Oreochromis niloticus: one gene and its partner. The protein of the gene in region 1 purifies or fractionates together with the protein of each later gene. This does not show direct contact. Links are inferred from orthologs where the notes say so. Each region holds a gene or a part of one and is shown on either strand. Other genes may lie near its edges. The genes, in order: pla2g4ab and protein S100-A10.

The links.
Region 2: the proteins of pla2g4ab (region 1) and protein S100-A10 purify together in Homo sapiens (affinity purification with western blotting; 3 studies listed by BioGRID). This does not show direct contact. The link is inferred for Oreochromis niloticus from reciprocal best matches to the Homo sapiens genes PLA2G4A and S100A10.

The regions. Positions count from the first base shown.
Region 1 is NC_031981.2:2,445,605-2,455,884, forward strand, and holds the start of pla2g4ab (cytosolic phospholipase A2), read left to right. Parts: upstream 1-5,583; 5' UTR 5,584-5,877; intron 5,878-7,238; exon of another isoform or gene 7,239-7,352; intron 7,353-7,463; 5' UTR 7,464-7,553; coding exon 7,554-7,577; intron 7,578-8,687; coding exon 8,688-8,769; intron 8,770-8,948; coding exon 8,949-9,097; intron 9,098-9,646; coding exon 9,647-9,760; intron 9,761-10,280. Other genes in the region: ptgs2b (prostaglandin G/H synthase 2), read right to left, coding at 679-1,091, 1,666-1,813, 1,923-2,209, 2,582-2,828, 2,923-3,006, 3,099-3,280, 3,550-3,693, 3,833-3,976 and 2 more. UniProt on the Homo sapiens protein: Has primarily calcium-dependent phospholipase and lysophospholipase activities, with a major role in membrane lipid remodeling and biosynthesis of lipid mediators of the inflammatory response.
Region 2 is NC_031985.2:17,137,320-17,147,239, forward strand, and holds protein S100-A10, read right to left. Parts: upstream 3,862-9,920; 5' UTR 3,709-3,861; intron 2,763-3,708; 5' UTR 2,742-2,762; coding exon 2,613-2,741; intron 2,479-2,612; coding exon 2,317-2,478; 3' UTR 2,226-2,316; downstream 1-2,225. UniProt on the Homo sapiens protein: Because S100A10 induces the dimerization of ANXA2/p36, it may function as a regulator of protein phosphorylation in that the ANXA2 monomer is the preferred target (in vitro) of tyrosine-specific kinase.

The DNA of each region.
Region 1 (10,280 bases):
TTCGGAGTTTATACAAGAACACAAAGTGACATCATGAAAACAGCAACACACACAGTTGATTTCTGAAGTATGACTTTCATCATTTATTCAGTTTAATACTCTGAAGACCACAGGCGCGCACCTGTACAATCAAGTGACAGAATATTTGTTCGTTCCTAAAAAAATACAAATAAAAAAATAGAGCGGATTCAACATACACGTGTTGTCAGTTCATATTACTCTGAGTAATATGAAGTTGAAATGAAATCACTAAAACAATGTGAACTGAAGATAGTCACAATCAGTCTTTGTCACTGCTGCACCCGAGCACTGCCCTTTAAAACGCTCACTGTTTATTACTGGAATACAACTATGGGAACATAAATGGAGAGGCAGCAGGTAATCCAAGGAAACATTTAACAGTAACTTACTGTTTTAATGAAAGTGTAAACTAACTTTCAAGTATTAAGTTGCAGTGGCTGAGGTTATCAGTATAAGAAGACAGTGTACAAAATAAATACAAACAATTACTGACTCTAATTTCAATTAAACTTACAAATACACATATAAAAATGTGTTCCACTTGTTCTGGTTTTATTTTACTGTATAAATATATAAAATAAATACACAAATAAATAAATAAATAAATCTTTTGTTTGTTTTTTTAAAAAACAATAACAACAACACGCTTAAATAAAATTAGAGCTCAGTAGTCCTTTCTTTCAAAATGATGGTGGGGTTGATGTCGCTGCCCCTCGACTGCGACGTGCTTGAGTTGATGATCATGGGCCCGGTCTCTTTAACGTCAGGCACATGAAAGGACGCCACGGGGCAGGGACCCTGCACGTTATTGCACACCAGCTTCTGGAGCGAGGCGGTGTTGACCATGTCGAAGCCGACTGTGCCTCCGAAGGTGCTGGGCTTCCAGTACTCCGGGGAGCAGATGGGATTTCCCATTAGGCCCTTGAGGGAGAAAGGAGCCCCCATCTCCACCATTGTTTCCCCAAAGATGCCGTTAGGTCTGGGCTTCTCCACCAGCAGGCCCGGGTAGAGCTCCACAGCATCGACGTCCCCGTACAGCTCCTCCAGCACCGCAGCCATTTCTTTCTCCCCTGAATAACACAAACAAGGAAACGGTTTTGGTCAGTAACACAATCTGGCGTCCTCCCCACTGGCTCGGTCACTGACAGATTTCATATGCCTTTACTTCCTGATTTTTATCTTTCCACTGGCATGCAAGCCATTTTTTTCTTCACTTATACAGCAAGTCAAAGTTAGTTTTCAATCGACATTCACCTCTTGAAAAGTTTAAATCTTCCTCTTTAAAGTAGAGGGACTCCCCGTGTCTGTTTATATCTCGCCTGCAGTGATGACAGTCTGCTTACTCTACCTTAAGATGAAATGACCATCTGGTTTTCAGAGTCATGGAAATAAATACCTAACCTTCAAAACTGCCAGCAACTGCTTAGGGACTCTGAGGCATTTCCTCAATATCAGGTAAACTATTGCATAAACTGTATTCTGCAGCCTACGGGTTTTTCAGTCACACTTTATGATAATAAGAATCATCGCGCTGCAAAGATATTAATCTAGCAATAGCTAGGCCTGAGACAGCAATTACAACAACCTGTTTTTGACACATTTTCAGCATACAGGTATTTTCAAGAAGTGCTGAATTTGTCTCACCTGTCAGGTCTTCGAAAGACGTGTAGGGCTTCATGGAGAATCGTTTCCTGTAGGCGTTAAGGGACTGGTAACGCATTTGTCTGCTGTTCTCTATGGACTTAATGGCCACATACAAGATGGGTCCGGGGACATTTCGACCACCAGCAACCTAAATTACAAAGAAGCACAAATGAAATTTCAATTCTGCATCCCTAAAGCAACGCTGGTCTTGTATGTTTCAGTCTAACTGCTGCTGCGGGAGCTTAAAGAGTTCTTACCCGTCCGGCAATCTGATTGGTGAACGACTCCACCAGGTTGCTGATGCCGTGCTCAGTCACGACAGAGGTGTTGAAGACAAACTGCTTGTAGCTGTAATCTGTCTCCTCAATGTGGAAACTATCAGGCATCAGAGGGTGCCAGTGATAAAGGGTGTTGAACTCGGATGCAATGCGGTTCTGGTACTGGAAGCGCTGGTTAAAGAGCAGCTCAGGGTCAAACTTCAGTTTGAAGTGATAGCCACTGAGATGCTGCACGTAGTCCTCAATCACGATTTTGATGGTCTCACCTGCCAGATGAGAAATGTGACGGTTTATACAATGAAGACACTCTAAATGCTAAAAGCCACTCTGTGCTTTAAAATAAATCGTGCTTATTGATTGATTGATTTGCATGTCTGTAGGTTGGGTAAGCACAAAGTGGATAGTAAAACACATTTCCTCTTTCTGATGTTGACAAGAAATTCTCAAGTCTTTCAGTAAATCAGGTTCCTGAAATGAAATGCTCCACTGTGTGCAACAGGGTCATTAGGAGGTGAAAACTAAGAAGTAAAACTTCCTTTTTTTAAAGAAAAATCCCCTGCTAACGATATTATTATTAGCTTTTTAATAAAAAATTTCCAACTACGTTACAGCTGGTATCTGGACTTCTTTTAACTTACCGATTAGGATGAGCCGTGCGGTCTGGAAGAGTCTTTCGTCATCCCAGTATGGGTGGACCTCTTTCAGCACATCGCACACACGGTTGTGTTCGCGGAGCCAGATGGTGGCGTACATCATCAGACCAGGGACCAGGCCGAATGCCTCGTGGCCGACAGCGAAGCGGTGAGAATCTGGGACGTGAGGGGGGTAATGCATCTCGACACCCACTTCCTTAACTGTCGGGGGGTACATCTCTCCATCAAGCATCTGCAGGGTTACACAAAAGAGGAAACCGCTGTGAGAAACGCACGTGAGCTGGTCTCTTTGACGCCTCGAGTACAGCTATCTTTTTCCCCCATACCTGATATTTCAGCTTGCCATCCTTAAAGAGTCTCAGCTTGTGCTGCTTCTCCAGGTTGTCACCGTAGATGTGGTTGAGGTCCACCTGAAAGTGTAAGACACGCCAATTAAAAACTGCGTCGCATTAAAATGAGTTTGCTTTTCAAAAACCGAGATCTTCAGACCCGCTCCACTTACCCCATGACCCTTAGCAACAGTGAAAGCAGGCCCTCTCTTCATGTCAGATTTGAAGAACTGGTGGGTGAAGTGCTGTGCGAAGAAGGCAAACATCAAACTGGTGCCCTGCGGGTCTGGTATAAACTGTCTCCTCATTAAGAGCTTCTCAGCCAGAACTTTAACATCAGGTAGCTCCTTTTTGCCTGGAAGAATAAGAAGACTTCACTGAGCACATAACACAATGATAGGAAAATCACAGCTCTTTGGGTCTGTTTCATACTTCTGACGCAAAAAATAACTTGATCTCTTTGGTTTGGGCTTGTAGGGGGAGGTTTTTCTGTGTTGCCTCATCTAAGAGGAAAACTAATTCCAATTTGCGCGCTTCCTATGATGTAATTCGACAAAGACGGTTTTGTTCAGTATCTTAAGAATCTCAGAAAACTGGTTTTCCAAAGGTAGACAGTGTACTCACCTACTACTCCCATAGGGGTTGGGCAATCCTGCGGCACAGGGGGGAGGGAGCGTGTATAGTAGGAAAGGTTGGAGTAGGCTTCCCAGCTCTTATAGCCGTAATCAGCATTATAAGTTGGAGGACTGTCAATCAAGTGGGATCGGGCTAGAGAAAGGAAAACCCATATTAGTCCTTCATTTAGTATAAACACTACAACAAGTTGCTGCGTAAATTGTTTAATGTACTGTGAAAAACTTTCCAGTCCACTTTTTTCATTTTTGCCTTCGGGCAGAGAGAGACTTACATGTCAGCACATATCTCATGATGACATCCCTGAGGAATGAGATGCTGTTGACGATGTTCCAGAAACCCTTGAAGTGGGTCAGGATGTAGTGGACTGTGTTGGGTGTTGGCTTCAGAGACACTTTGATCCAGGTGAAGAATTCAGCTGTAAGGGACAAAGAGAGCACGTGAATCAAGCCATCAAGTCACCACCAGAAATGCACCTTCATTTTTGTTTCACTCCAAGCGCGATGTTCACACTTACGTGTTGTGCAGTTTTGCCCATAGTACCCCGTGCGTGTGCAGTCACACTCGTATTCTTCTGAGCCCAGTGGTGAGCAGACACCCCTGTTCTGGCATGGCTCTGAGCAACATGGGTTAACTGTAACAGATAAGGTTGGACACTTACTATCTGTTTAATAAAAAAATAATTATTCAGTTCTCAAGAAGAATAAGAAGAAGATCTTATTTGGCATGACAATAATACTAATAGAAAGAAATCACGACTTCTAAACTGTTGCTGTGATTTGGGCTGTATCAATAAAATAAAATGGAAAAACTGTAAGAAATAATCTGCAGTTTCCTCAGCTTACCAGTTTCGCCGACAAGAAAGCACAGGGCCAACAGGAAAAACAGCAAAGTGAGTTTGTTCATGCTCCGAAGACTCCGCTTTTGTTTCATGTCTGCTCTCCCACTCGCGCGCGACGATGGTGAAATTTTGAATGTCCACAGCCAGGATGAGGCTTTTATAACACGGTGCTCCTCCTACCACCCCACCCACAAACTGTGACAAAAGTGATTTTTTGGTTTATTTTATTATATTAATGTGTTTGCTTATATTAGTGAGCAGGGTTTATGAAGGGGCTGTATATAAAATACATAAATCACCTGTTTTGCGAGTGTCTTTATGACTCTGGGTTACTGTACCCACACTATAATCGTTTCATTCCTTTTTGTCCACTTAAAATATCTTTATAGAACCAATATGTGATACGTGTTGTAATTTCTGATGCACTCTTGGCCACATCACTCTTTAAAAGACATTTTTAATGACAATGAGACTTTTAGCCGGATCAAAGACGGATATATAAAAACCACTTTGCTAAAAAGTGAATGCAGAACATTCCTTTTTGCGTCAAAATAACTTTATATCTTTCAAGAGAGTTAAGTTTGACGTCTGTTATAGGACAACAAGTAACTTACAACAGTTTAAATGTAGGCAATCCTTTTATTTTACTTTATTTATTTTTTTATTTTTTATTTTTTTTGAGGAAATACCGGAAATCATTTTTGGAAGAAACAAGTTTTCTTATCTACGGAATATTTATTTTCTATCCTCACTCCTTCAGTGCTACAGCAGGTAAATTAACTAATTGTATGCGTCTTTTGGGGTTTTTTTGTCGCCATTAAAACGCCACGCTGTGATTTTAATTAAAGTCTAATAATATTTACTGGTTTATATAACGTATTACCACGACACGCTTGGGGTTTTTTTGATATCTTTAGCCTCTACAAATCGTATGAACAAACATGGAGAAATGATAAGTAAAAATACTCGAGTACTCTTTGATTGATATTAAAAAAAATACAAGTTTGAGAATCTTTCCCGGAGATGTTTAATAAAAGTGAACATATAAAACTCTTTTTTTTTTCATTGAATTTCACTGAATTAAATGAATCATCACCTAAACCAGTAAAAAGTCGCATGGCACCTCCGTTTAAACGTTCATTTCATTCAGAAACTTTTTCAACCACAGATGCCACCTTGCGGTTGATGATCGTGCATATTTGGATCAAGTCTCAAAATCGGAGTCAGTCTGACTGCTACTCGGAAATTTCCTATTAAAAGAATCTTGACCATCTTTTTTTAAAACCAGCATTTAAACCCCGCTATATTTTTATTGTCTTCCGGTAGTTTTGTTTTTTTCTCTCGATGCAAACGTAATAAGCTACGATACTGCTCACTGCCGGGTACGGTAGCGCCTCCTCTCCACCTCCCGAGCTATTGGTGTTATCGACATGAGACATTTTTCTGGATTTGTGAGTTGATAGCATGCGCCTGTTAAGGTACGTGGATATTTCCTTTCCTTTTTAGGCACATTGATGTGTTTTTTCAAACGGGTTTGGGCGCAGTTTAAAGGAGGAGGTCTGCGCCTTTGCTCCTAATGGGTTAAACAGCCAAGGCTTAAATTTTACGCGACGCCGAAGACAAGGAAACTCACAGGCCAGTTTAAATAGGACCGATCACTGCAGGGATACACAAGTAAAACTGAATAAAACGGAACTTTTGCGAATTATTATTATGTTTATTCTACCTTCATAGATATTTTATATCATGTGTCATGTTTATATAAATGCAAATTCATAGTATCCACCACATCTTTACTGCCTTAGAAGGACTAACATTACTCAGCATCGCATGTAGCGCACTCATAACATCATCAATCCTTGTTTGATCTGCCCTTAATCTGCCGGGCTAATAAGAATAATGTAAAGCCTCTTAGCAGTGCCTAATGCTAAGTTTTGCGTGAAGCCTCTAATCCGTATAAGAATTAAATTGCAATGACTCCTCGGCGTAATCTTTCTCTGGAGACACGCACAGTGATTCACTGAAGTGAGTCTTCCGACCTGCTCCTTGTGTGGCTCAGGTGGGAGCACACTCGCCCAGGAGGAGCCTGACTGTGCTCCGGTGAAAGCCACAGCTGCGGCAGCTGTTTTGCATTATAGACCGTCGCTGCAAGTCTCTTTCGCGTTCTGCATCCTCATATGAAAATTTGCTGCCACGCGGCGCTTTGCTGAAGCTGGCACACTTGCAGGGCTCTGTAGCCTGCATGCGCCCATTGTATGCAGCAGCGGAACAAGGGCAGAGTGAACTGGCACCGTCCGAAGTTGGACCACTGATGCAAAGTACGTGACCGCTTCTGTGAACACACAGACGCTCTACGTGCTCTCAGTCCTCTCAGTAATTACACACTTTGGTGAGCAGCAGAGAAAAGGCTGGTGACCTTCATATGCTATCACTTTTACACTCGCACTCACACACATAGACATACACATATCTATGCAAATTTCTTATCACGATATGGTGTTCAGACATCACAAAGAGAAGGCGTTCGCGTTGCTAAAAATAGCCACCTTGCCACCTATTCTGCAAATGCGCACTAAGCTTTACATTTTGTCGTCCAGCATGTTGCATTTATTCAGGGAAGACCCTCCTCCCTTTACTGGCATATTTTCTCTCGCTCTCTTAACACATGCTTGTGGTGAACACACACACACACACACACACACACACACACACACACCCCATTTCTATTGGCCCAGTCCTCTTATCGGGATTTTGTGGCTCAGCACACTTCCTTTTACCCCTGCCAAGATGTAAAAGACTTCACTGGTATTTGCGAAGCGACTTATTTTTAAAAATTCCAATGCACTATAAAAAAAGTGTTTTGTTTAGGAAAGGCATCCTTTCAAGAGATATTGTAATATGTCCATTTGCTGCAACTCTGGCTAAAACTAAAGCTGTAAATCGCGGTAATGATGTTAGTATTTTGTTGTCGTTTGCATCACAGTTTTAATAGTAACATAATATTCTTTTTTCAGCCCGTTCAAACTCTAACCCTTTGTTTGCACTTCTTTGTTTCATATTTCAGGCTCTCGGTGCTGCAGTTTGTGACAGATATGTTCTCTTGACCTAAAGTTCACATCTTGACGAAGGCTTCCCTGCGAGTTGCTCACCTCACATGACAATGGCTTCCAATATAATTGTGAGTGTCGACACAGTGTGTGTTTACATGACTGTAAATAAAACTGAGGCCAAAACAAAAGTGGACGGTTTCTTTGGCATCAACCGTGACACAAATAATTCTGTGGAAGTTCTTAGTTTACTGGTATTAAAAAAATTCCCTCTTATCGCAAGCCACAGCCTTGGGTGTAAGCGCAACAATGAGCGTGTCAACGTCAAGGCCATTTTCATTTCCATGTTGGTGGAAGTCAAGGTTGAAAGGGTTGTTTTAAAAGAAAAATATGCATATTGTTTGATCAGTGTGACGTCTGAGTTTTTATCACGTAATTCCAGTTAAATTTCATTTATTTAGTACCATAATCATAAATCATAAAATAATTAAGCTCACAGCGTTGTAGAGGAAAAACTGAACAAGCGGCCTTTTAACAAGAAGGGGCGAGAGGGGAGCTGCAAAAAAGTCTCACAGCACTTCCTGTTTTACAGATCTGCAAATCGTCGTTGAAACTATTCGTCTTTTGGGTTTTTAAAAATAATTTAAGAGTGTGTAAAAGGCTGCCAGAAAGAGGAATCTTAAATAGTCACAATATCAAACTGCACTGCAACACGCAGAAATTCAAAACAACATCTGTTCTGTGAGATTGGAGAGATCTAATATCTAGAAATGACAAAGGGAACACTGTTGGGACCTTCAAGTAGTCGTATTTGAACAGTGTCCAATACTTTAACTTTCATTTCAGTGTGCTACCAAACTTTCAGGGATACGACAATGTAGCACAAGGGTAACTGAGGTGAAAGGGTTGCTGTAAAATATATAAAGGGTTTACAGTACGGTCCCATTAAATGCTCATCTACAGTATTTATTAGAGTCACAGTATTTGGGAAAGGGCTACAAATTTTGCAGTACTGTCAAAATATAAGGAGAAAGCTGTCGTAGCACAGTGTGAACACAGCTGGGAAGCGTATCCTTAACTGGAGAGTTTCACAGGGGAATGGCACTCTGTGTCGACCTGCCAAAAAACCCAGATGTTCTCATGTTCTGGATGTGTTCATTTTTTGCTCTCAACATGGTTGATGTGATTTTTTTCTCATGAAGCAATGAAGTGAGGCTGAACTCTGAATGTCCAAATTGCAGGTGGAGCAGCAGTTTTCTCACAAATTCACAGTGACTGTAGTTCGAGCTCAGAACGTCACCAAGGGAGCGCTGGGCGACCTGCGTAAGTGCTTATATAATTTTTTCCTTACAGTAACATATTACCATGCTTTTACTTCATATTGTTGGAATGTAATCCATGTAAATTTACAGTAAAAGAAATACAAAAGCACTTGATGATGGTTATTTTGAGTTTGGTTTTCAGCTGTGTAGTAACCCTGTTGAACTTGTTTGTGCGCCCAGTGGACACTCCAGACCCATATGTGGAGCTTTTCATCCCGACGGCCCCTGAAAGCAGAAAGAGGACCAAGCACATAGACAACGACATCAACCCAAAATGGAACGAGACCTTTCATTTCATTTTAGACCCCAACCAGCACAACGTTCTGGAGGTTAGACCTGCATTTACTGTAACAGAGCGCAGCACAGGATGACAAGAAGTAATGTCATGGAGCGCAATCCCACATAAACACAGCCCAACACTTGTAGCTCGCTATGAGGTGATATGTTAACATCATCCAAAAAACTAGTCTTTGAATGACTCAAGTGTTAGTTTGGGGTAAGCTACACAAGCGGCCTACATATTTACATCCATGACTAATGGAAAATCCTGCCATGAGGTGACTTTTAAAGACTTCTTGCACCTCAGCGCTGGCCGGTGACTTTATGCGGTCTGCCACTTGAAGGCTGAGTTTCCGTGGTTTCTAAATGGTTCTACTTTCTAATAACACCGTTTACAGTTGAAACTGTGTGATGCTGTTACAGCATCACACTCGAATTCGGTGAGGTCCTTAGTGCGACCCATGTTTGTGAAGGCAATCTGCATATACCGTCGAAGTCATAATCAATTTAACTAATCAACAAAACTAGCCAGTTGGAAGAACTGAACACCTGCCACAATTTCTATTTGAGTACAAACTGCTGTTGTTCATGTCCAACAGTTAACATTAATGGATGCCAACTACGTGATGGATGAGACGCTTGGGACAGCATCCTTCGAAATCTCCAAACTCAAAGTGGGCCAGACAAAGATGGAGGTGTTCCTCATTGGCAAAGTAAGAAAGTTAATCCGTCTGACTTTCATTATTTATCGTCATTATGTTATAAGCAATCATGTAGAAGGTTCGTCTAAAAAAATTAAAAACCCAATCTGAATTAGAGGCATCTTTTTGTGCGCCTCTAGATCTTTTTCAGCACGGCTGCTATGTCTAGATTACTTCATGGAAGTCTTGTTCTGACCATATGGAAGTGGATGAAGTGGCAAGTAGAGCAAAAAACATAGTTTGGCTCAATTTTCTCCTCCTCATGCCTCAGAATTTTGCACAAAAAGCTTTCATTGTTACACTAATCTAATTTAATTTTGCTCACAACTAAAGACAAGTGTGTTCTGTGCACCTGGGGGCGACCGTGGTTCAGGGGGTTGGGAAGCTCATCTTGCAACCGAAAGGTTGCTGGTTCGATCCCCAGCTCTGTCTGTCTTGGTCGTTGTGTCCTTGGGCAAGACACTTCACCTACTGGTAGGCTACCATATTGCGCCATCGCGATATGGCAGTCTGCCCCAGGGCAGCTGTGGCT
Region 2 (9,920 bases), on another chromosome or scaffold:
GGGTGAAAAATTGCAAATTCTTCAAAACATACTTAACTAGAAGTACATGGTTAGATTTAACCATTGCCTAATGTTTGCAGTTTGCATGTATGCACCTTTGCATGTATAAACCTTTAGGTCATAGGCTCTTTATTTTGGTAACCTGTTTTGGTGTCAAGTTCTTTCAGTTCAACTGGCTCAAAGCACCCTCCGTGTGTCTATCAATAAAAGAACAGAAGAAAAGTGAAGCGGCAGAATCAGCTTATAAAATACACAGCACCAACAACAACACCAACAACACTAAAACCACTGACAGGTGAAATGTATGGACCCTGTCTTTTCAATGTAACGCTCTACCCCCTGTTCTGCCTTCACTCCCTGAAGGCAGCATCTCAGAATAATGATCCCTGCCTCTGTAAAAACTAAATCAGAGCAGTTGCAGGAGCACAGCAAAGAGGTCACACATACCCAGACTCCAAACCCAGATTGCAATTTGAACAAGCTTGATTCATCGAAGCCCAGCCCTGCTGTGGATACTTCGTGTCCTGTGGGCTGCTGGGCTGGGCTTCGATGAATCAAGCAGGACACAAAGTTTCCTCTCCCAAACACGCAGGTCCAATGGGACAGAGCTGTACTGGCAGCTTGAGTAGGACCTACAAAATAATAAGCAGGTGATATTAATGTTGTGGATAAAGTGCCAAGTATAGTGGAATTTAAATGTCTATTGGTTTCTAACGCTCACATTTGAACACTGGGGGTAAAAAAAACATTCAACTAAATGTAACTGTGAATTGAATCAGTATCAGGATCACAATAGTTATTTCCCATGGCAACATCTGCTTGCAAACTGGACGTTGGGGATGGTTGGTATGTTTGGGACATTAATGTTATTGTTTAACAAGTTTCCACAGTGAGGGGCTTTTTTTGGTGTGTCCAAGATGGGCGTGGCATGCCACAGTGAATATTTGGTAATCCCCAAACTCACACCACAGAACGCCCCCGCCAGGAATGACTTGAGCAACTTTAAAACCAAAAAGTACGCAGGATTATTTCAGTGAGAAAAATGTTGTGACAAATGTCATTATTACTATATTAGAAAGTCTGTTAGAAAACTAGACATGCCACGTACAGTGGTGTCACCGATCAGTGTCTGGTAACTTGCCTCAAGCTCGAAGAGTAATTCATCTAGACAAATGATGATTTTCTTTTCTTTTAGGCAACATGATAAACATATAGCCTGCAGGAGGCACTAAATACAAGGAAATGCACTGAAAAAGCAGCAGTCTTGGAATCTAAGCTGTGGGTCACATGGGCGGGGTGCTTCTGTAAACCAAGTGGTGCAAACTCTAGCTACACACACACAGACACACACACACACTTAAGAGTCATCACAGAGTCACATAGCAACTTCAGTGTTTTCCCAGTAACCATGAACACTGACAAACCAGTAGTTAAGCCCTGCCCAAAGCGGTGTTTGCCAAGAGCTCAAGAAGACCTCTTCCTCCTGGGTTTAGCCTTTCAGGCAGGCTTTTCTCAGGCAGTAAAAACTTTGATGACTTCACTGGGATCGGCAGACCATCATAGTAAACAGTGGCTCCCAGTCTATCTGCACATCTATCAATAACAGATTTGATTGCTGGAGCATGCGTGAGAGGTAGGGCTGCCTGGAAGACTTCGTTTTAGAGCAAAGATATTTGTTCTGTTCAGTAAGAATAATGAGAGACGGGTGGTGAAGGGGTTATCCTGTTCCCCTCTCTCTTTCTCTGGTGTTATTCAACTTTCACCAGACATGAAACACAGTGGGATTTTTGTGATCTGCACAAGAACAGTGATGTGCTGTTCTTGTGAGTCAGTTGAGGGCTTGCAAGATACAAATCAAACTGACTAGGCAATGTTATCACCTGTTTTATTCATAGAGTTGCAACATCCTCTGAGAGTTTATGCCTCACTGAGAGAGGTGTGTTCATGCCTACAACATTCAGCAGATTCCTCAGAGCAGTGATAAAGCAGGGACTTTGTCAGGGAGGGAGTGGCTCATCTGCCCTTTAACACTCGGGGAAACATAAAGTACTCACTCAGTTACAATGCCAACAGAGAAAGCTGTCTGGATTAAGCTTTACCAGCTTCTCAAATGGAAATGGTGCTGGTGCTTGCTTACAAAAACACATGTATAAAAAGTTGAAGATTTATAGGCAAATCTGTCTAACTTAAAGATTACATAGCTAGGAAACACAAGACACAAGAGGTTTAAAAGGATTCAGCACTTTTAATGAACAAAACTTTACAAAAAAAAAAAAGCAATGCTTTTTGGTCTATTCTCTTCCACTGTTGTACTTCCTACTTCTTTCCAGTCTTCTTCATTTCCAGCTGATAGCACTGCTCACAGGCAACAGACAGTCCAACAACCAGAGAAACAAACTCCTCAAAGTTCACAAGACCATCACCGTTGGCATCCAAGTCTTTCATGATCTTGTCCACAGCAGCAGGATCTTTTTGACACTGTGTTTAAAAAAAGGGTGTGTGAGGATACATCAGCAACAGTGAGGTTGCACACGAGGTGGCATAGTGTTGGATTACAGTGTGTAAATAATGCGCAGCGTGATTGTACAATTTACGTTTTGGTCTCATCTCACCTTAAGGAAGCTGGAAAGCTCAGCCTCCATTAGCTGTCTGAGGTTTTGCCGGGTGAGCGAACCATTCTTGGCGTAACGGTGGAACACCTTGATGAGTCCTTCCATGCAGTTTTCCAGTTCTGAAGGCATGGTTGCTGGAATGTGTTTAGACTGAAAAACAATGTTCAGATACAGCAGAAAATGTTGACTATGACAAGTGATAGCAATCCAGTTTAACTTCAGCTGACATTTTCCAAACAAGTCCTTAGAAAGCATTTATGAAAGCTGCTTTGGCTGTGACGCTGTTAAACTCGTCCATTATTGATGGAGCTGACACATTTGGGTCTTTGTTGTACTTCCCACTGATGAGTGATGCTCGTGGGACGACAGTAAAGGTATGTCATTGAAATTTTAGTAAACCACTGTGCAAAATACAGAAAATCTCAACATTTGAATTACTGTCTTTGTAGCTGTAAGAGTTAAAAGAAAGGAGAAGTGGGAGGGAGGGTGTGTTATTTGTGTGCAAGAGAATGGAAAATGTGAACAACTTGAACTGAAAAATGTGAGACCCAAAATGGTGGGATTCAATGTGAGTAATGAGATAGGACACTGGAGGAACAAGCACATGTGTGTACATGCCCACACCCAACCCAACCACCCAACCACACCCTTACAAAGGCTTATATCGACTATATGGAGACCTAGTTAACTGTCTTAAATGTGAATCAGAGCTTAATGTAAAAATGTTAATTATATATTTTATTAATAAAAGTAATTAGAACATTGGAAAAACAATTAAAGTGTAATTAATGTGAAAGATTGAAAACAAGAGAAAGAAACACAATAAACTAACTAAAAGTTGCAGCCTAACTTAGTTACAGCAGAGGAAATACACAGATCCGTTAGAAACCGTTAGAAATTCACAAAGAGGGAGCTTCAGTAAATACAAAGCAGTGACTGGGAGCGGATTAAAGTAGGTTAGACAATATGAAACACTATTCTCACACCCAGAGGGTCCTAGCTGTATGTCTGTATGTTTGAGCAACTAAAGTTTATATTAAAAAAAAAAACTCGTGGCAAAGCCACACCTGTAGGACAAGAGCAGAAAGTTTCTTACCGTACAGTTGCTGGGACGTGGTCAGCAGAAGAGGTGCGAATGTTCAGACGTCTGCAACAAGCAACAGAGATTTTATAGTCAGGCGCCGCCCTGGCTGTGCGCACTGACTCACACTGTGGCTGTGCAGACGCTGGACTCTCTGAACAGTTAATACACTGGAGTAATAGGAGAGTAAATATATCAGTACGACTTTAGCTTAAGTTTAGTCATCTGAATTAAAAACAAGGAAAAAGTTAGTATTGTTGCTGATAGAAGAGCTAAAAGCCGTTTTTGTGGAATTTAAGATAAATTTTCATCAAAGTTTAGGCTACCGGTTTAACAGACCCCCCGCCCCTCTCCACCGCCCACCTCCCACACACGCACTACTTTTCTGTGTTAATCTCCATAATAAACACACCTTAGGTTTAAAGGATTTTTAAAAACTATTTACTGTAATTTCGTAGGCTGGAAAATCTGTAATTTACCTGTTAGACTTACTGATACCTAAAGGAGTATTCATACGACAGCTAAAGGCCCGAGATTTTCTGTCTGGTATTGTGAGACAAAATACAGAGAACAACAACAACAACAACAACAACAACAACAAATAGCAACTAAAGAACAGGATTTTTGATAAGCACAGGAAAACATACACATCAGCAGAAGAGCCAATCAGCAGCATTCTGCTGAGTACAAGCTCAATTCTGTAAACTATCGCTATCATTCACAACAGAGGCAATCCAGCCAGTGTGGTTTCAAGGACTGTTTTGTCTCATATTATCTGCATTTATATTCCTATCATAAGGTGAACCTTTACTCCTATTATCCTGAAATGCTTTTTATATCAAAGATGGACGACAGATAGCTGGATGGATACAGTGCGCCACATTGTGGTGAAAACAGGGTATTACAAATGGTACGCTTTGGACCCAGTGTTAAAGCTGTGTCTGAATAACAAACCGATCCGTTTGTATCTCATTTTATTAACAAAGGAGAAAAAAAAACATAATTTAACATGAAAATCACCAAAATACTTTATTGCAATGTTTCCTGCACTCAACTTTTTGTTATTTTAACCTATTTGATCTCGCTATGTATTAATGTTAGGTTTCATGTTAATCTCATAGCTGATCAAAGTGGAAGTGCTTTTTACTTTATTAGCCTAATCCTGTAATCCTAATCTGTTGTCCCATATAAAGGACAGTAGAAAAATGTGTAAAAACAGACATACACAGTGCTTAACAAGAAAACTAAAATATTGTAAACCTGTTTAAAAAGTTTATTAAGCAAATAACAAACTGAATATCTATCTATTTTTTTTAACCCAAATTTCTGCCAGCACACTTTTAACCTCTACTACCTTTTTTAACCTCTACCTTACTATTTTTCTTGCTGTTATCCTTAAATATATCATTTTAACTGAAAGACCTACAAATACAGTACTTGACTAACTCTCTTTTTCTAATAACTCGTCAGTCCAGATTTCCAGTTTTGTTTCTTGGTTAAACCAGTTCTCTTCTTATTATCAGACTCCATTAGTAGTGATTTCTTGAAGCAGTTTTCTGAAAAGGTGATCTTTTGCAGGGAGGGTTCGAAGAACCGTAAACACATTATGGCAGAAAAATGACTATATCAATTATTGGTGTATAGAGTGGAAGAGTGCAGGGAAGATATGGACAGAGACAGACGATCCAAAGAATGATCCTATGATAAGGGTTTGAAATAAATACTTCATTTCATCTGAAAAAGTTGAAACCAGGACAAACAGTAACAAGTTTCACACAGATTTGTTGCCAAAAAAACATAACCAGCAACTGAGTACACCACGCACGTTTCCATCCTGCACTTACCTAAGTCCTTGTGCTTTACTTGGCTTCCATATAATAATAATTATATTACTGTCAATAATAATAATTCTATTAATAATTAACCACTTATCCAGGTCAGTGTTGTGGTTAGTCTGGAGCCGAGTTTTTACTGGGTGAAAGGCAAGGTACACCCTGGACAGGCTGCTAGTCTAACACAGGTTAATGTAATAAAATTATTAAAGTGACATTACACAAGATGTCATTTTGTTTATTTTGGATACTTCAAATACATTTTGTTGGTGCTACAGGAATGTGGGACTTATATTTAAGCTATATATTTAAATTAAGGCCATAGTTCTTCTTAAGAAAGGCTTGAGTAATTCCTGGCAAACATCAAAATCGTTGTCATTAGTCTTCTAATTCTCACAAGTGTGTACTGAAAAACCTGACAAACCAGGTCTCCACATACCCGTCGTAGGAAGAACTTTACATCAATATTTGCACTGTGTCTACAGCCATAAAATATGGTGGTGGCTCTGTCATGGTCTGGGGCTGCATTTCAGCCTCTGGTGTTGGGGCTTCTTAAAAGTGATAGATGTACAAATACAATATAAAAAATAAAATTAAATCATTGGCCCTCATAAGCACGAAGCAATAATAAAATAAGTAGTGTACTAAAATACAACTGAAATATAAAAAATAGAATATTTATTCAAATAATGAATGATTAAGAACATATGCTTGGTCTAACTGAATGTATACCATTCAATTAAACTACACAGTTTACCCTGAAAACAAACGTTTTTGGAAACAAATGCATTTCCAAAAACTGGATTACTATCAGTTATCGACTGGCCTCAGCCCCCAGACCTGTACCTTATTGAAGCAGCTTTGGATCATCTTTACAGAGCAATAGGCAGCCAACATTCAAAGAATAGCTTTGAATGTCCTTCCAGAAGCCTAGAGAACTAAAGACTATGTAAATTACAAGAAAGCTTGTATTTTGTTGAATGTCGTGTCAAATAGTATTTTTGGATAGAAGGAAACCATTCAGAAACAGGTCAAGTCAGGAATTCAGAGGCTTATCTACTTCTTAGTTAAAAAAAAAAAAAAAAAGGTAGTAAACTTTATGGCTTTAAAAACAATCTGGGTGGATTTTATCATCCAGCAGTTTCAGTGGTTTACATATTTCACATTCCTATAGTCCTGAAAGGATTACCTATAATCAGAGATGGGCAGTAACGCGTTACAGTAACATGTTACAAGTAACGCGTTTATTTATTTTCTGCTGTTTTACACTTGCATCTATTTGAAAGAGTGGGTGTAAACACAAAACATTTTATTTTATATGCTGGAATATGCAGAAAATAGGTTTAAATGTTAAACAGATTTCTTAAGGTCAAAGACTGTTGCATATAATTTAATTTTTGCTTGATGCAATGTGCATGAAGTTATGATTAAAATTCATTTGATTACATTTTATATGATGGACTATGCAGAAAAAGTAGAATTGGACTAAAAGATCTATTGCTTTATTACCTTTTCAGGTTGTGTATCATGTTTTGAAAGATTAATTACTTATTTTCAAAAGTAATCAGTAAAGTGACAGGATTACTTTAAAGTAATAATTAGTAACTTGAACACTACCGCCAATAGGCATAGTTTTCTAACAGTAGATGGCAGCATTACCTGAAGGAGGTACAGTGGACACAAACATCAGTGTTATATTCTTAAGCCCATGTGAGAATAGGGGGCAATATGGGTATATCCTAACATGGAACAACTAGTTCAGAGGTGTGAATAGGCAACTAGCAAACATTTCTATCCATCCCTAAGACAAATCAAGTTAAAGAAAAAACAAACGCAGTCTTTGACAGACTTTGTTTTGATGTGAATCCAGGTAAGGCCTATATTGGGTTTCTTTCCACATCAGCAGTGCTTTACTTTGGGAAGCCTTTTGAATCCAGTTCTTTCACGACCTTTTGGAGGGCGTCATGGCTTGCACAGGCGCAACCAGCAACCAGTGAGGCGAACTCTTCAAAGTCCACACGTTTATCATCATTGTGGTCGACACACTTGAAGAGCTCATCTTCATTTTTTCCCTGCAAAGGTGAAACAAACATTTAATAACTTTGAAAATAAGAGCCTGTGAATGTAAAGCATTTACCATTTCTCTACTTAACATTACAGGTGTTTAAGTTTTGAGCCAGTCGTTTATGTTCATTTCATTAAAACAAAACACAAGAAAAGGGCCGAGTTTAATAATACTTTGTTCTTTTAATTAATTAATTTAAAAAAAAAAAATGTATCTCTTGGTTCATGCTTTTAGTCAGGCTGTTATGAGAAATTTGCAAACTCAACAGATTTGTGAGGCTAGTTGATTTTAATGCTAAGCTGTGCCTTAAACATTTACATTGCACTTTAGTGACATCGAGACACACATTTAAGGTTACTGTGATCATTTGCAGTGATTTACTACAGTGTTTTCCCTTACCTCACCAAGTACGGGTAGTTCATCCTTCACTAGTTTTAGAAATTGTTCTTTGGTCAGTTTTTTGTCATCTCCTTGGTAGGACATGTAGACACTGAACATTGCAGCCAATGCCATTTCCAGTCTTGTTGGGTCTGACATTTTTGCAGCGCTGTACAAGAATCTGGACAAGAAATAAAATGGATCATGAAATATTATTTGGCATGCATCGGCAGAGGGACAGAAATGTAGATGGACTGCACTTACAATAAGTCTTTACTTTTTAAAAATGTGATTCTTAACTAAAAGTTTTACATACCTTTCAAAAGGAAGAGCAGCTTCACTGAAACAAAATACATGCAGTTAGAGTAGAACCAAAACCCAGCCAGTTTAACATAATTACAGATGAATCTTCAACCACAAGACAAAATTTGTCTAGTTTCTCTCTAAACAATAAAAGTCACAGAAAAGTCTGCTCCTACCTGGATTCAACGGAGTCAACGGAGTGAAGAGAAAACCACCTCCATAGGGTTCAACAGGGTATTTGTGACACTCACATTGGCTGTTTTCAAGATTCCTGTTTAGCAAGTTTGTTTGCTTTTTTTTTTTTATTTTAACTGCTTCCATCCTGGAGGCCCTCGCACACAGGCAAATTCAATAGGTCACCTTCTACTGCAATCACTAAAATAGGTATAGCTTTCTTATACTTGATTTCTGTTGCAGGACTGGTAGCTTCACTTTTAGAACTGGTTTACTTATAGTGTGCCTACTTATTGTGGTATGGTTGACTTTCCTTTTTGACCAGGTGTGGGTAATAATGGTCTTTCTTTATTGCAGTTATAATTCTTCCCCTGGCCTGGTGTTGATCAGCACACTTGCACAGTTCAATAAAAGATCTGACGAAAGACGAAAAGAAACACTTTCTGATTGCTAGATACAGCTTGAAGTAAAGCGGCTGTTTTGTAATAAAAACAGATTGACCAAGTCAAACGCAGGTGAGGGATGTATATCTCATGTTCATTGTTTAAACAGGAATTTTAATATGAGGGAGTAGTGTACACACCCAACAGAGAGCTGGTTAGGTCTTATTGAACACAGCTGTCAGGAAACTTTCCACCTGTGGAAGAAACACTGAGACATGTGAATAGCTACGGCGGTCTTTTTGAAGAACAAATCAGTTGTTGCTCATTGCATTTTAAATCCAAATAAGTTTTCTAGTAAATTAAAATCCTTTGAGCACCAAAACCAGCATGCACTGCAGAAGACCTCTGTTTATCCGTTTATTTATTTTCAACCAGAAAATTGATTCTTTTGAAAAGAATACAATAGAATAGAAAAGGCTTTTATTGCCATTGTACTTGCAAAGCAAAATTGTGGAATTAGGCTGAATACAGTGTGTGCTGTGACAGCATACTCCAACCTGCCTTCATTTCTTTTGATCCCAATCAGCCACACTGGCAACACCTGGGCCCAGTGTGCCAGTGCTCTGCAAACACTGCATACTGCACTTCTTCATTCGTGCACTCACTCACGCCACTGACAGTACTGACTACACACCCTGACTTCACATGTAAGTTTCTTAGTAGAAGTTCATTATTTCTGTACTGTAAATTAAAGCAGTATCATGGCTGCACAGCTCAGTTGACTACAACTGACATCAGTTTCCTTTAAATTATGAATTTAAGTTCTGCTAATAATACTGAATATGATGTCAAAATATAATGATGGAAACTACAATCAGTTTTATTTCATACATGTGTAGTTTTGCTTGAGCAAAGGAGTTGAATACCTCCATGGCAGACAATAAACATAAAATGATCAGTCCCCGTAAATGATTTAAAGGATTTTTTTTCTCAAGTGTTTACCAAGTGCTTTTGAACAGAGGAAAGGATTTTTGATATACATTTCTAAACATGCTATTTTTCTTAAAAATTTTCTACTTGCACACAAAACAG